2 linked regions of the Stegostoma tigrinum genome follow. The protein of the gene in region 2 interacts with the protein of the main gene of each other region in a pairwise test. Links are inferred from orthologs where the notes say so. Each region holds a gene or a part of one and is shown on either strand. Other genes may lie near its edges.

Region 1 (8,041 bases), on a different chromosome or scaffold from region 2:
TCTGTAGAATCTGGAAAAATTCTGATGGACAGGATGGCAGCTAGTGCAACAGCACTCTTTCAAAACAAAAGGAGGGAGAGAGAAAAAGGAGACTTGTAGGCTGGTTAGTCTGACATCGGTGGTAGGGAAAATGTTGGAGTCAAATATTAAGGATGTAATAACTGAGCATTTGGAAAGCAGTGACAGAATTGGTCCAAGTCAGCATGGATTCACTAAGAGAAATCATGCTTGATAAATCTTCTGGAACTTTTTGAGGTTGTGACCAGTAGAGACGATAAGGGTGAAACAGTTGATAGCATATCTGGACCTTCACAAATCTTTTGACAAGGTTCCACACAAGGGATTAGTAAGGAAAATTGAAGCTCTTGATGTCTGAGGTAATGCATTTTTGATAGAGAATGGTTTGGCAGACAGTAAGCATTGAGTTGGAATAAAAAGGCCCTTTTCGGAGTGGCAGGCAGCGACAAGTGGGGTGCTGCAGGGTTCAGTGTTGGGAAGCCAGCTATTCACAGTATACATTAACAATTTGGACAAAAGAATTGAATGCAATATCTCAGTTTGCAAACAACACTTAGCTAGATGGCAGTGTGTGCTCAGTGTGCTAAGAGGCTGCAGGGTGATTTGGACAGACGAGCTGAGCGGACAAATATTTGGCAAATACAATATACTGTGGATAAATGTGAGGTTATCCACTTTGGTTGCAAAAACCAGAAGGCAGATTATTATCTGAACAGTGGCAGTTTAGGAAAAGGTGAGGTGTAACAAGATCCAGGTGATATGGTGGAATGGTCGCTGAACATCGCCATGCAGGCGCAGCAGGCAGCAAGGAAAGCTAATGTTACACTGGCCTTCGTTGCGAGGGGATGAGTGTATTGGAGTGAGGATGTCTTGTTGCAGTTGTACAGAGCCTTGGTGAGGCCACACCTTGAGTATTGGGTGCAGTTTTGGTCTCCTGGTCTGTGGAAGGACATTCTTGCTATTGAGGGAGTTCAGCAAAGGTTCACGAGACTGATTCCTGGAAAGGCAGGACTGACATATGAGGAAAGACTGGATTGACCAGGCTTGTACTCACTGGAATTTAGAAGAATGAGGGGGGGATCTCTGAGAAATATATAAAATCCTCACAGGGCTGGACAGGCTAGATGCGGGAAGAATGTTTCTCGATGTTGGGGAAGTACAAAGTTAAGGGTCACAATGTAAGAATAAGGGGTAAGCCATTCTGGACTGAGATGAGGAAGAACTTGTTCACTCAGAGTCGTGAATCTGTGCAGGTAAAGGGATCAAGATGTATGGAGAGAAAGTGGGACTGCAATACTGAGATCACACAAACAGTCAACCTCCTGCACCTATTTTCTACACTTCAGGTAAAAAGTACCCAACCACGGCTAACAGAAGAAATTAAAGATGGTATTTGTTTCAAAGAGGAGTCATATAAAGTTGCTAGAAAAAGTCATAACCTTGAGGATTGGGAGCAGTTTAGAATTCAGCAGAGGACGACCAAGGCGTTGATTCAGAGCGGGGGAAAGGAACATAAAAGTGGACTGTAATAGTTTCTATAAATATATAAACAGAAAATGTTTAGAAGTCTGAAACAGGAGAATTGAAAATGGAGAAGGAAAAAGGACAATAACTAAATTACTTCTGTTCTTTATTCACAGAAGAGGATACAATTTACTTCCCAGAAATATTCAAGGAAGCAAGGATCCATTAGGAAGGAGGAATTTAAACAAATTAGTATTATTGAGAAATGGAGAAATGAATCACAGTGAAAGCTGATACATGCCTGAGCCCTGATAATCTACACCGAAGGCAACTACAGGTGGTGTTCATGGAAATAGCAGATGTAATCTTTGCATTCTGGAGACCAGTTACTTCATCCTGGAGACCAGTTACTAGTGGTGTACTGCAAGGCTCAGTGTTGGGTCCACTGTTGTTTGTCAGTTTTACAAAAGACCTGGATGAGGGTGTAGAAGGATGAGTTAGTAAATTTGCAGATGACACTAAGGTTGGTGGAGTTGTGGATAATGATGAAGGATGCTGTAGGTTGCAGAGAGAAATAGATAAGCTGCAGAGCTGGGCTGAGAGGTGGCAAATGGAGTTTAATGCAGACAAGTGTGAGGTGATGCACTTTGGTAGGAGTAACCGGAAGGCAAAGTACAGGGCTAATGGTAAGATTCTTGGTAGTGTAGATGAGCAGAGGGATCTCGGTGTCCATGTACACAGTTCCTTGAAAGTTGCCACCCAGGTTGACAGGGCTGTTAAGGCGGCGTACAGTGTTTTAGCTTTTATTAATAGAGGGATTGAGTTCCGGAACGAAGAGGTTATGCTGCAGCTGTACAAAACTCTGGTGCATCCGCACTTGGGAGAATTGTGTACAGTTCTGGTCACTGCATTATAAGAAGGATGTGGAAGCTTTGGAAAGGGTGCAGAGGAGATTTACTAGGATGTTGCCTGGTATGGAGGGAAGGTCTTACGAGGAAAGGCTGAGGGACTTGAGGCTGTTTTCATTAGAGAGAAGAAGGTTGAGAGGTGACTTAATTGAAACATATAAAATAATCAGAGGGTTAGATAGGGTGGATAGGGAGAGCCTTTTTCCTAGGATGGCGACAGCGAGCAGGAGGGGGCATAGCTTTAAATTGAAGGGTGAAAGATATAGGACAAATGTCAGAGGTAGTTTCTTTACTCGGAGAGTAGTAAGGGAATGGAACGCTTTGCCTGCAATGGTAGTAGATTCGCCAACTTTAGGTACATTTAAGTCGTCATTGGACAAGCATATGGACATACATGGAATAGCGTAGGTTAGGTGGGCTTGAGATCGGTACGACAGGTCGGCACAACATCGAGGGCCGAAGGGCCTGTACTGTGCTGTAATGTTCTGTGTTCATTCTTAGAAATTTCCAAGGATCAGCTGATCAAAGTTCAGTAAAATGGAGGTGAGCTGTTCCCTGAGAGTTAATTTACATTCTAAACCAATGCAGAACTCAGCTGAGACACATTTTGTCAATTAAGACATTTTTGGCGTACAATTTATGCTGACATTACCTCTGCTCCAAGTGCAGTCAAGGTTTCAATTAATACAGCAGTTTGAAGAGTCATATGGAGGCAGCCTGCGATCCGGGCTCCTTTCAGCGGCTTAGAATCCGCATGCATCTTCCTCATCATCAATAAACCAGGCATCTCATTCTCTGCAATCTCAATGGCCTTACGACCCCATTCAGCCAACGTGATGTCAGCTGTAATGCAAAGAAACAAGATTCACACAGAATCAATATGTACAGGTAAGCTGGCAATCCAGAGAACCAACCTCATGCCAGGTTCAAATCATAAAGTGAGAGTTTGTGCAATTCAAAATTTACAATAAGACTTCTGGAAGTGAAAGCTCTTCTCAGTAAGAGTACCATGAAACCAACTGTCAAAAATTCCATCTGGTTCACAGATGATGTACAAAAGTACAAGAAAACTGGCAGCCTTACCTGGTCTAGCCTCCATATGGTTTCTGATCTATAGAAATACGGTTCACTCAAACAGTCAGCAAGTCACTCAGTTGTACAAAGCTGCTGCAGTGCAGTCAAATAATTAAAACAGATTGCATGATATTGACAGGGAAGCAAAACAACCAGACTAAGCTTTGCTTAGTTCCAACTCCTGTACTCGATGCCTCAACCGATGAAGGCCAATATGCCAATAGCCTTCTTCACCACCTTGCCGACCTGTGACATTACTTTCAATGTCCCTCTATCCCACAACACTCCTCAGGACCTTACCATTTACTGTACAAGTCCTATCTCGGTTTGACTTTCCAAAATGCAACACCTCACTTATCTGTATTGAACTGCATTTGCCAATCCTCAGCCCACTTCTCCATCTCATCAAGAGTTCTCTGTAAATTTTGATAACCTTCTTCGTTATCAACGATACCTCTTAATTTTATATCATCCACAAACTTGCTAATCATGCCTTGTACGTTCGCATCCAGATCACTTATGTAAATAACAAATAACAAAGGTCCCAGCACTGACACCTGTGGCATTCCGCTCGTCACGGGCCTCCAGTCCGAGAAACAGCCTTCAACCATCATTCTCTGCTTCCTACCATTGAGCCAATGTTGAATCCAATGAGAGACAGTAGGAACTGCTGATGCTGGAGAATCTGAGATAACAAGGTGTAGAGCTGGATGAACACAGCAGGCCAAGCAGCAGAGGAGCAGGAAGGCTGCCATTTCAGGCCTATTTTTTCTGAAGAAGGGTCTCGGCCCAAAACGTCAGCCTTCCCGCTCCTCTGATGCTGCTTGGCCTGCTGTGTTCATCCAGCTCTACACCTTGTTATCTTTGAATCCAATTAGCTAGCTTTCCCTGGATCCCACGTACCCTAACTTTCATGACTAGCCTGTATGCAGGTCCTTGCTAAAGGCCTTAATAAGGTCCACATTGACAACATCCACTGCCCTACCCTCAGCTACTCTCTTGATTACCTCTTCAAAAACACTCAAAGATTTATAAACATGACTTCCCATGAACAAATCCATGCTGACTCTCATCAGATCTTGATTATCCAAATGTTGGTTGATCCTCTCCCTCAGTATCCTCTTCAATAACATGCCAACCACAGATGTCAGACCCACTGGCCTGTAGTTCCCTGGCTTGTCTTTGCTACCTTTCTTAAACAATGGAAAAACATTAATCACATTCCAGTCTTCCAGAACTTCTTCAGTGACTAAAGATGAAGCAAAAACCATTGCAAGAGCCTCTGCAATTTCTTCTCTAGCATCCCACAATGTGAGGATGGACTTGATCAGGCCCAGCGGATTTATCCACTTTAATGCGCTTTAAGGCTGCAAACACCACCTCTCCGTTAATGTGTATTAATCTGAAACATCCGCACTAGTTTCCTTTATTTCCTTAGCATCCATGATTCTCTCCTCAGTAAACAATGAGGACAAATAGTCATGAAAAATCTCTCCCATCTCCAGTGACTCCACATAAACAGCTATGCTGATCTTTAAGGGGACCTATTCTCTCTCGAGCCAACCTTTGACTCTTATTCTAAAAAAAATCTATAAAACCTCTTGGGATCATTTTTAACCTTATCTGCTAGGTCAATCTCATAACCTCTTCTGATTTCCCTCTTCAGTGCGCTCCTACACATTTTATAGTCATCCAGGGATTCACTTGAGCCCAACGGCTTAAACCTAATATATGCCTCCTTTTTCAAAGAACGGAGAAAATTACAGCACAGGAACAGGCCCTTCAGCCCTCCAAGGCTGCGCTGATCGAATCCTCTGTCTAACCTGTCATCTATTTTCTAACGGTCTGGGTCCATTTGCTCCCCGCCCATCCATGCACCTGTCCAAATATATCTTAAAAGACGCTAACATGTCTGCGTCAACTACCTCTGCTGGCAACACGTTCCATGCACCCACCACCCTCTGTGTAAAGAACTTTCCATGCACATCTCCTTTAAACTTTCGTCCTCTCACTTTGAACTCATGGCCCCTAATAATTGAGTCCCCCACTCTGGGGGGGAAAAAGCTTCCTGCTATCCACCCTGTCTATACCCCTCATGACTTTGTAGACCTCAATCAGGTCCCCCCTCAATCTCCGTCTTTCTAATGAAAATAATCCTAATCTACTCAACCTCTCTTCATAGTTAGCACCCTCCATACCAGGCAACATCCTGGTGAACCTCCTCTGCACCCTCTCCAAAGCATCCACATCCTTTTGGTAATGTGACAACCAGAACTGGACACAGTACTCCAAATGTGGCCGAACCAAAGTCCTATACAACTGCAACATGACCAGCCAAATCTTGTACTCAACACCCCGTCCAATGAAGGAAAGCATGCCGTATGCCTTCTTGACCACCCTATTGACCTGCGTTGTCACCTTCAGGGAACATTGGACCTGAACACCCAGATCTCTGTTCATCAATTTTCCCTAGGACTTTTCCATTTACTGTAAAGTTCGCCCTTGAATTTGATCTTCCAAAATGCATCACCTCGCATTTGCCCGGATTGAACTCCATCTGCCATTTATCTGCCCAACTCTCCAGTCTATCTATATTCTGCTGTAATCTCTGACAGTCCCCTTCACTATCTGCTACTCCACCAACCTTACTGTCATCTGCAAATCTGATCAGACCACCTACACCTTCTTCCAGATCATTTACATATACCACAACAACAGTGGTCCCAGCACAGATCCCTGTGGAACACCACTGGTCACAGGTCTGAGAAATTTGAGAAACTCCCTTCTACTACTACTGTCTCCTGTTGCCTAGCCAGTTTTGTATCCATCTAGCTACCACACCCTGGACACCATGCGACTTCACTTTCTCCATCAGCCTGCCATGGGGAACCTTATCAAATGCCTTACTGAAGTCCATGTAGATGACATCTACAGCCTTTCCATCATCAATCAACTTTGTCACGTCCTCAACAAATTCTATTAAGTAGTTAAGGTATGACCTTCCCTGCACAAAACCATATTGCCTATCACTCATAAGCACATTTTCTTCCAAATGGGAATAGATCCTATCCCTCAGTATCTTCTCCAGTAGCTTCCCTAACACTGATGTCAGGCTCACTGGTCGATAATTACCTGGATTATCCTTGCTACCCTTCTTAAACAAGGGGACAACATTAGCAAGTCTCCAGTCCTCCAGGACCTCACCCGTGTTTAAGGATGCTGCAAAGATATCTGTTAGGGCCCCAGCTATTTCCTCTCTCGTGTCCCTCAGTAACCTGGGATAGATCCCATCCGGACCTGGAGACTGGTCCACCTTAATGCCTTTTAAGATACCCAACACTTTCTCCCGCCTTATGCCGACTTGACCTCGAGTGCTCAAACACCTATCCCTAACCTCAACATCTGTCATGTCCCTCTCCTTGGTGAATACCGATGCAAAGTACTCATTAAGAATGTCACCCAATTTCTCTGACTCAGCGCATAACTTTCCTTCTTTGTCCTTAAGTGGGCCAATCCTTTCTCTCGTTACCCTCTTGCGCTTTATATATGAATAAAAGGCTTTGTGATTTTCCTTAACCACGTTTACTAGCAATATCTCATGTCCTCTCTTAGCCCTCTTAATTCCTCGTTTCAGATTCGCTCTACATTCCTGATATTCTTACAAAGCTTCGTCGGTCTTCAGTCGCCTAGACGTCATGTATGCTTCCTTTTTCCTCTTGACTAGTCTCAATTTCACCTGTCATCCATGGTTCCTTAATCTTGCCATTTCTATTCCTCATTTTCACAGGAACACATCTCTCCAGCACGCTAATCAACCTCTCCTTAAAAGCCTCCCACATATCAAATGTGGATTTACCTACAAACAGTTAAACAGTTTCCTGGCCAGAGCCTCAATATCCCTCATCAGCCAGAGATCCCTAAACCTGCAGCTTTGCTCTTCACCCTAACAAGGGCATCCTATCCCTGGGCTTTTGATATCACACTTCCCAGTCACTCCTTTTCCTTCAAACAGACTTACCCAATCGACCTCTGCTAGATCCCATCTGACAGCCCCAAAATTGGCCCTGCTCCAGTTTAGCACCTTAACCTGTGGACCTGTCCTATCTTTTTCCATAACAACGCTAAAACTAAGAGTGCTATGGCCACTGGGCCCAAAGTGCTCTCTGACTGATACTTCAGTCATTTGCCCGACCTGGTTTCCTTAAGAGGAGGTCCAGTGTTGCACCCTCCTGAGTAAGGTCCTCTACATATCGATTTTGGAAACTTACTTGGTCACATTTGACAAATTTCACCCCATTTGGACCTTTTACACTCTAGACGGTCCAGTCAATGCAGAGGAAATTAAAATCTCCAACCAACACTACTCTGTTATTCCAACAGGTATCTACAATCTCACTACACATTGGCTCCTCTAGGCTATTTGGGGGCCGATAATGCAATTCCAAGAGTGACTATCTCCTTCTTGTTTCTAAATTCTAACCATATGGCCTCATTTGTAACACCTTAAGAATATCCTCCCTAAGCACTGTAATGTCCTCCCTTTTCAAAACAGTAACTCCCCCTCCTTGCTTACTTGT
Region 2 (8,030 bases):
ATCAAAGGTTATGGGGAGAAAGCAGGCTTAGGCTATTGAGTTGGACAATCAGCCATGATCGTGAAGAATGGCAAAGCAGACTCAAAGGGCTGAAAGGCCTCCTCCTCATCCTATCTTCTATGTATCTTGGCAAAGCAAACAAGGGCAGGACTTATACAGTTAATGGTAGGGTCCTGGGTGGTGCTGATAAGCAGAGTGACCTCTGCACTTGGGGGCATAGTTCTTTGGAAGTTGTATCACAGGCAGGCAGGGTGTTTAAGACATGTAGCACGCTTGCCTTCATTGCTCAGATCATTGAGTATAAGAGTTAGGATGTCATGTTGAGGTTATAGGAGACATTAGTGAGGCCACTTTGGACTCCTGTGTACAGTTCTGGTCGCCCTGTTATTGGAAGGATGTTATTAAATTGGAGGGGGTTCAGAGAAGATTTACCAAGTTATTGCCATGGCCAGAGGGTTTAAGTTATAAGGAGAGATTGGTTAGGCTGGGACTTTATCCACCAGATTAAGGCGTGACCTAATAACAATTTATAAAATCATGAAGGGCAACAATGGGGTGAATAGCAAAGGTCTTTTCCCGAGAGCCATGGGGTTCAAAACTAGGGGGCATATTTTTAAGGTGAGAGGAGAAAGATTTAAAAGGGACCTGGGGGGAAACATTTTCACACAGAGGGTCATTCATCTGTGGAATGAACTGCCAGAATTAGGAGCAGATGCAGGTGCACTTAGAATATTTACAAGACATTTGGACAGGTACATAAACAGGGAAGGTTTAGAGGGATATGGGGAACACACATGCAGGTGTGATTTAGTTTAGTTCAGGAACATTGGTCGGCATGGATGAGTTGGACTGAAGGGTCTGTTTCAATGCTGTATGACTTGACTCCATCTACACTTCCCGCTGCCTCAGGAAACCAGTCAATGGGACAAGCTGGGAATCTCTTTTGAGAGCTGGTACAGACATGAAGGGTCACATGGCCTCCATCTATACTGTAAAATTCCACGCATTTCCTTAAACAACCAGAAAAGTTAAAGGAAATGCAACAGAATAGATTTTGATGGAGACTTGTGTTATACTTAAAACAGAATGTAAGGTGAAACACTCGAACATGATCACAGCCATTTTCCCTGAAGTTTAAGCGTGACAGACTCTCGCTCTTGATGTTCTTCAAAACAAGTATGAAATTATTCACACATCAGAATTATAACATCATTAGGGGAGGTGATGGCCTACTGGTAATTATTGCTGGACTGTTAATCGAGAGACCCAGATAACATTCTGGGGATCATGGGTCCGAATCCGGCCACGGCAGATGGCAGAATTTGAATACAATAAATATCTGGAATTAAGAATCTAATGATGATGGTGAATCCATTGCCAATTGTTGGAAAACACTATCTGGTCCACTAATGTCCTTTACGGAAGGAATTTGCCATCCTTACCTGGCCAGACATATGTGACTCCAGACCCACAACAGTGTGGTGGAATTTTAACTGCCCTCTGGGCAATTAGGAATGGGCAATAAATGCTGCCAAGCCAGCGATGCCCTCATCCCTTAAACGAATAAAGAAAAAGAAACATAACGAAGGGATCCTGCAACGCAGGTTCCACTGCCTTCCAAAGAAAAAGAAACATAACGAAGGGATCCTGCAACGCAGGTTCCACTGCCTTCCATCATGCAGAAGATATGAAAGCTTAAAACCCTACCAACGTATACAAGAACAACTTCTTTCCCGCTGTTAGCGGACTTATGAATGGACCTCTCATATTAGAAGTTGATCTTCCTCTGCAGCTATAAGACTATATTCGTCATTCGATTAGCCTGACATACTTATTCAGGTATGATTTGTCTGGTTAGCATACAAAACCATACTATTTAACCATATCTCCATTTGCGTCACAAAAATAAATCAAACCAAATGAATGGTACGGCGCTCCCTCGGCGCTGACCCTCCGACAGTGCGGCGCTCCCTCGGCGCTGACCCTCCGACAGTGCCCACTCCCTCAGCACTGACCCTCCCACAGTGCCCACTCCCTCAGCACTGACCCTCCCACAGTGCCCACTCCCTCAGCACTGACCCTCCGACAGTGCCCACTCCCTCAGCACTGACCCTCCGACAGTGCCCACTCCCTCAGCACTGACCCTCCGACAGTGCCCACTCCCTCAGCACTGACCCTCCGACAGTGCCCACTCCCTCAGCACTGACCCTCCGACAGTGCGGCACTCCCTCAGCACTGACCCTCCGACAGTGCGGCACTCCCTCAGCACTGACCCTCCGACAGTGCGCCACTCCCTCAGCACTGACCCTCCGACAGTGCCCACTCCCTCAGCACTGACCCTCCGACAGTGCGGCACTCCCTCAGCACTGTCCCTCCGACAGTGCGGCGCTCCCTCAGCACTGACCCTCCGACAGTGCGGCACTCCCTCAGCACTGACCCTCCGACAGTGCGGCACTCCCTCAGCACTGACCCTCCGACAGTGCGGCACTCCCTCAGCACTGACCCTCCGACAGTGCGGCACTCCCTCAGCACTGACCCTCCGACAGTGAGGCGCTCCCTCAGCACCGACCCTCCGACAGCGCCCGCTCCCTCAGCACTGACCCTCCGACAGTGCGGCACTCCCTCAGCACTGACCCTCCGACAGTGCCCACTCCCTCAGCACTGACCCTCCGACAGTGCCCACTCCCTCAGCACTGACCCTCCGACAGTGAGGCGCTCCCTCAGCACCGACCCTCCGACAGTGCCCACTCCCTCAGCACTGACCCTCCGACAGTGCCCACTCCCTCAGCACTGACCCTCCGACAGTGCCCACTCCCTCAGTGCCCACTCCCTCAGCACTGACCCTCCGACAGTGAGGCGCTCCCTCAGCACCGACCCTCCGACAGCGCCCGCTCCCTCAGTACTGACCCTCCCCCCACGTAGGGGCGGGCTTCCCTGCCGTCCCGGCCCCCCCTTGCCCGGCTCCTCACCATCCGTTCACCGCGTTCTGCCCATTCACTCGGGCCCCGCGGCCCAGCACCTCCGAGACCAGCTCAGAATCCCCGAGACTCGCCGCCTCCCGAAGCCGCTCATCGAGCTCCAGGCTGGGATCGGCCGCCATGGCGCCGCAGGCCTCGTCCTATGACCCTTGACCCCACCCGCAAACCCGGGCACCGCCCCTTCACATCGTTCCGCCCCTGCCCCACAAACACCTCCCCCTGGTCCTATCGCCCCGCCCCTGCCCCACAAACACCTCCCCCTGGTCCTATCGCCCCGCCCCTGACCCACAAACACCTCCCCCTGGTCCTATCGCCCCGCCCCAGACACACAAACTCCTCCCCCTGCTCCTGTCGCCCCGCCCCTGCCCCACAAACACCTCCCCCTGCTCCTATCGCCCCGCCCCTGCCCCACAAACACCTCCCCCTGGTCCCATCGCCCCGCCCCTGCCCCACAAACACCTCCCCCTGGTCCTATCGCCCCGCCCCTGACCCACAAACACCTCCCCCGGTCCTATCGCCCCGCCCCAGACACACAAACACCTCCCCCTGCTCCTGTCGCCCCGCCCCTGCCCCACAAACACCTCCCCCTGCTCCTATCGCCCCGCCCCTGCCCCACAAACACCTCCCCCTGCTCCTATCGCCCCGCCCCAGACACACAAACCCCTCCCCCTGCTCCTATCGCCCCGCCCCTGACCCACAAACACCTCCCCTTGGTCCTATCACCCCGCCCCAGACAAACAAACTCCACCCCCTGCTCCTGTCGCCCCGCCCCTGCCCCACAAACACCTCCCACTGCTCCTATTGCCCCGCCCCTGACCCACAAACACCTCCCACTGCTCCTGTCACCCTGCCCCTGCCCCACAAAAACCTCCCACTGCTCCTATTGCCCCGCCCCTGCCCCACAAACACCTCCCACTGCTCCTATTGCCCCGCCCCTGACCCACAAACACCTCCCCCTGTTCCTGTCACCCCGCCCCTGACCCACAAACACCTCCCCCTGCTCCTCTCACCCTGCCCCTGCCCCACAAAAACCTCCCCCTGTCCTCTCCCCCCAACCCACAAACACCTCCCCCCGTCCTCTCCTCCCCCATGACACACAAACACCTCCCCCTGTCCTCTCCCCCCCACGACACACAAACACCTCCCCCTGTCCTCTCCACCCCCACGACACACAAACACCTCCCCCTGTCCTCTCCCCCCAACCCACAAACACCTCCCCCTGTCCTCTCCCCCCCACGACACACAAACACCTCCCCCTGTCCTCTCCCCCCGACCCACAAACACCTCCCCCGTCCTCTCCACCCCCCCACGACCCACAAACACCTCCCCCTGTCCTCTCCCCCCCCACGACACACAAACACCTCCCCCTGTCCTCTCCCCACCCCCAACACACAAACACCTCCCCCTGCTCCTATTGCTCCACTTCCAGTTCCAGAAGCCTCCCCCACTCAGCCTCAGGCCATGCGTGGTCACTCGTCTGGCTCTTCACATGTCCAAATTGGAGACTGTGCGATCTTGCTGTGTCGTTCCTCTTAGCTCTTGCATTAATTTCTATCTCATTAATGTAGACAACAAACTACAAGGTGCCCAGCTCCCATCCCTGAAAGTTCCCTGGACACAGACTTCCAGGCATAAAAACACCCTTCAACCAACACACTGTGCTCCTGAGATGCTGCTTGGCCTGCTGTGTTCATCCAGCTCCACACTTTGTTATCTTCAACCATCACACTCTGGTTCCCGCCACTCATTCAACTTTACATGCAATTTGTTTTCACTGGATCCAATGGGCTCTCAGCTTCTCAACCAGATTCCCGTGTGTGACCTTGTCAAAAGCCTTACTGAAGTCCATGAGAATTTTATTCAATGCACTATCGTCATCCATACATCTAGTCATAGCCTCAAAAGATTCAATTATATTTGTTCAACATGATCTCCCCTTTACAAAGCCATGCTGCTGACTATTCTTGATTAATACATGTCTCTTCAAGTTGGGGAGCAAGTTACTGCAGATCCATTCAAGTGGAAATTGATTCTTTCCCTCAGAATTTTTACCAATAATTTTGCTACTGCTGATGTCAGACTCGCTGGCCTATAGTTTTCCTGGTTTGTCCCTACCATCCTTCTTGAATAATGGAACCACATTATCTGTTTTGCAGTCTCCTGGCACCTGTCCTGTGTCGAGAGAGTATTTGAAATATAACGTTGAGCCTTTGCCTCCTACACAGCCTCAGATACATTTTGTCTGGGCCTGGAGATTTATCCTCTTTCAAGCCACTAAAGTTGTTCCTGCCTCTCTCTCTCTCAAAGCTAATTCAGTCAGGTGTATCACTGCTCCCTCCCTGATATCTATACCTACATCATTCTCCTCTACAGTGAATACTGAAGCAAAGCACTCATTTAAAACTTCACCTGCAACTTCCAACTCCTCCCACAGGTTGCTACTTTGGTCCCTAATGAACCCTACTGTTTCCCCGGTGATTTCCTTGCCCCGAAAATATTTTAAAAATTGGGATTTTCTTCAATGTTACCCACAGTGATTTTTCATGTCCCCTCTTTGCTCTCCTAACTTCTTTCTTAAGCATTCCCCACACTTTCTATACTCCAATAGGATATCTACTTGTTCTCGGCCATCTGTGTCTGATGTAAGCTTCCTTCATTTTCTTTGTCCATCCCTTGAGATCCAGGGTTCTCTGGACTAGTTGGTCCCACCCTTCACCTTTACAGGGAAATGTTACCCTACTCTCTCACCATTCTCCTTTTCAATGCCTCCCACTGCTCTGTTGGGGATCTCCCTGCAAGGTAAGCTGCTCCCAGTTTACTTTGGTCAGATTCTGTCTCATCTTATTAAAACCAGCTTTTGCTCATTTCAGACCCCTTATTTTGGATCCTTCCCTTAAATCTTGCTGAATTATGGTCACTATCACTGAAACATCCCTCCACTGCCTCATCTACCACTTGCCTTGCTTCATTCTCTAAAGTGAGGTCCAGCACTATTTCCTTTTCTGTAGGACTTCCCACATGCTGCGTTGCCTTTGACCGAGTGTTGCAGACTGACACATTCCAAGGTCCAGGATTCTGTCCTGAGGGACACACTAAAGCTTGGGGCAGCTGCTGCCAAGGCACAGTGGGGAAGGACCACTGTCTGAGGTCTTTCTGCTGAAGTTAAATGAGGACATTCAGTTATTGGACCATCCTGGTGCCTCAAATTACATGTGAATATAATCTTGTACAAATAAGAAATGCTTTTGGTTTGTTTGCTGGATAGGGTTAAACTTCAATGTTTGTTTGTTTCTTCATATGCTACTGTTCAGAACCAAACTGCTTCAGTAACTATGTATAAGTATAAAGATATTTTGTATATAAAGCGTATTTTTGAAATAAAGAACACATCCTAGGTGCTGTGTATAAATCTCTGTCCTGGACATATTTCAGGAATTCTGCTCCCACTGAGTCTTCTGCGCTTTCATTCAATCCCTACAATTATTACCCTGTTGTTTTTACACTTCTCTGAGATTTGCCTAAATGGCTTTCTTTCTATCTCCCTTGACTGTCTAGGAAGATATAGGGCAGCCTCAACAATGTCATTGCTTTTTTATCTTTTTAAGTTCTGGCTATATGGCCTCATTTGTGAAACCTTCTGAGGTATCATCCCTCCTTATTACAGTAATCCTTGATCAATGTTGTGACAGCACCTTCTTTCTTACTTCCCTTCCCCATTTCACTTAAAGATTCTATGTCTCAGAATATTGAGCTCAGGCCTGTCCCTCCTTCAACCTTATCCATGTGATAGCAATAATATCACATCCCATTTATTAATTAACACTGTCATCTGCCTTACAATGGCCTGATAGTGTTATTGCTGGTTTGTTAATGCAGAAACTCAGGTAATATTCTGAGGACCTGGGTTCAAATCCAGTCATTTGAATCAATAAGAATCTAATGATGTGCATGAGGTGGGTGGACGCTGGGAAGTTGTTTCCGTTAGGTGGGGAGACTAGGACCCGTGGGCACAGCCTTAGAATTAGAGGGGGTAAATTTAAAACCGAAATGAGGAGACATTTCTTCAGCCAGAGAGTGGTGGGCCTGTGGAATTCATTGCCACGGAGCGCAGTGGAGGCCAGGACGTTAGATGCCTTCAAGGCAGAGATAAACAAATTCTTGATCTCACAAGGAATCAAGGGCTACGGGGAGAGTGCAGGGAAGTGGAGTTGAAATGCCCATCAGCCATGATTTAAATGGTGGAGTGGACTCAATAGGCCGAACGGCCTTACTTCCACTCCTATGTCTATGGTCTTATGAGTTGATTGTTGGAAAAGCTCATCTGGTTCACTCATATTTTTCGGGGAAGGAAACTGCAGCTATCACCTGGTCTGGTCTAAACTTGACTCCTGATCCAAAGGAATGTGGTTGACTCCTAAATGCCCTCTGGGCAATTAGGGATGGACAATAATGCTGGCCTAGCCAGCGATACTCTCATCCTATGAATGAATGAACTACAAAAATATCACTCTTTACAAAATCTAAAATCTACAATCTGAACCTCTCCTTCTATCTCTGAAACTCTTTACAATCTATCCCTTTGAACTTGTTTGTGGACATTTGTTCCAAACATCTCTGATGTAGGTTCTGTATATCCGCCTGAAACCACTCCTGAGAAGTGCCTGGCATGTTTTGTCAGAATCACAGGATTTTTACGGTGCAGGAGGCCACTCAGCCCATTATTCCTGCAATGGCCTGTTCAAATCATGTTAAATGTGCTACATAAATATAAGTTGTTGCTGGTAAACATTCTTATTGCTCCCTTTTAGAATGGTAGTATTTATTGAGGTGCCCTACATCCGGGTTTTGGGCTGGGCTTGGGAACCTGAAACCCTCTGTGCTTCAAAGGGGTTTGACTCAGTGAATTGGATGCTTTGTTTCTATCCATTCATAGAATGAGGGCATCTCTGGCTAGGCTGGCATTGATTGCCCAACCTTAATTTCCCAGAGAGCAGTTAAGGGTCACCAATAAAGCTGTGAGTCCGGAGTCACATGTAGGCCAGATCAGGTAAG

The links.
Region 1: the proteins of ankrd40 (region 2) and ahcy interact in binary tests that used the Homo sapiens proteins (3 or more experiments, as listed by UniProt). The two-hybrid records come from large-scale screens. The link is inferred for Stegostoma tigrinum from reciprocal best matches to the Homo sapiens genes ANKRD40 and AHCY.

What each region holds. Positions count from the first base shown.
Region 1 is NC_081372.1:144,508-152,548, reverse strand, and holds the start of ahcy (adenosylhomocysteinase), read right to left. Parts: upstream 3,260-8,041; 5' UTR 3,178-3,259; coding exon 3,043-3,177; intron 1-3,042. UniProt on the Homo sapiens protein: Catalyzes the hydrolysis of S-adenosyl-L-homocysteine to form adenosine and homocysteine. Binds copper ions.
Region 2 is NC_081375.1:6,718,339-6,726,368, forward strand, and holds the start of ankrd40 (ankyrin repeat domain-containing protein 40), read right to left. Parts: upstream 3,149-8,030; 5' UTR 3,101-3,148; coding exon 2,970-3,100; intron 1-2,969.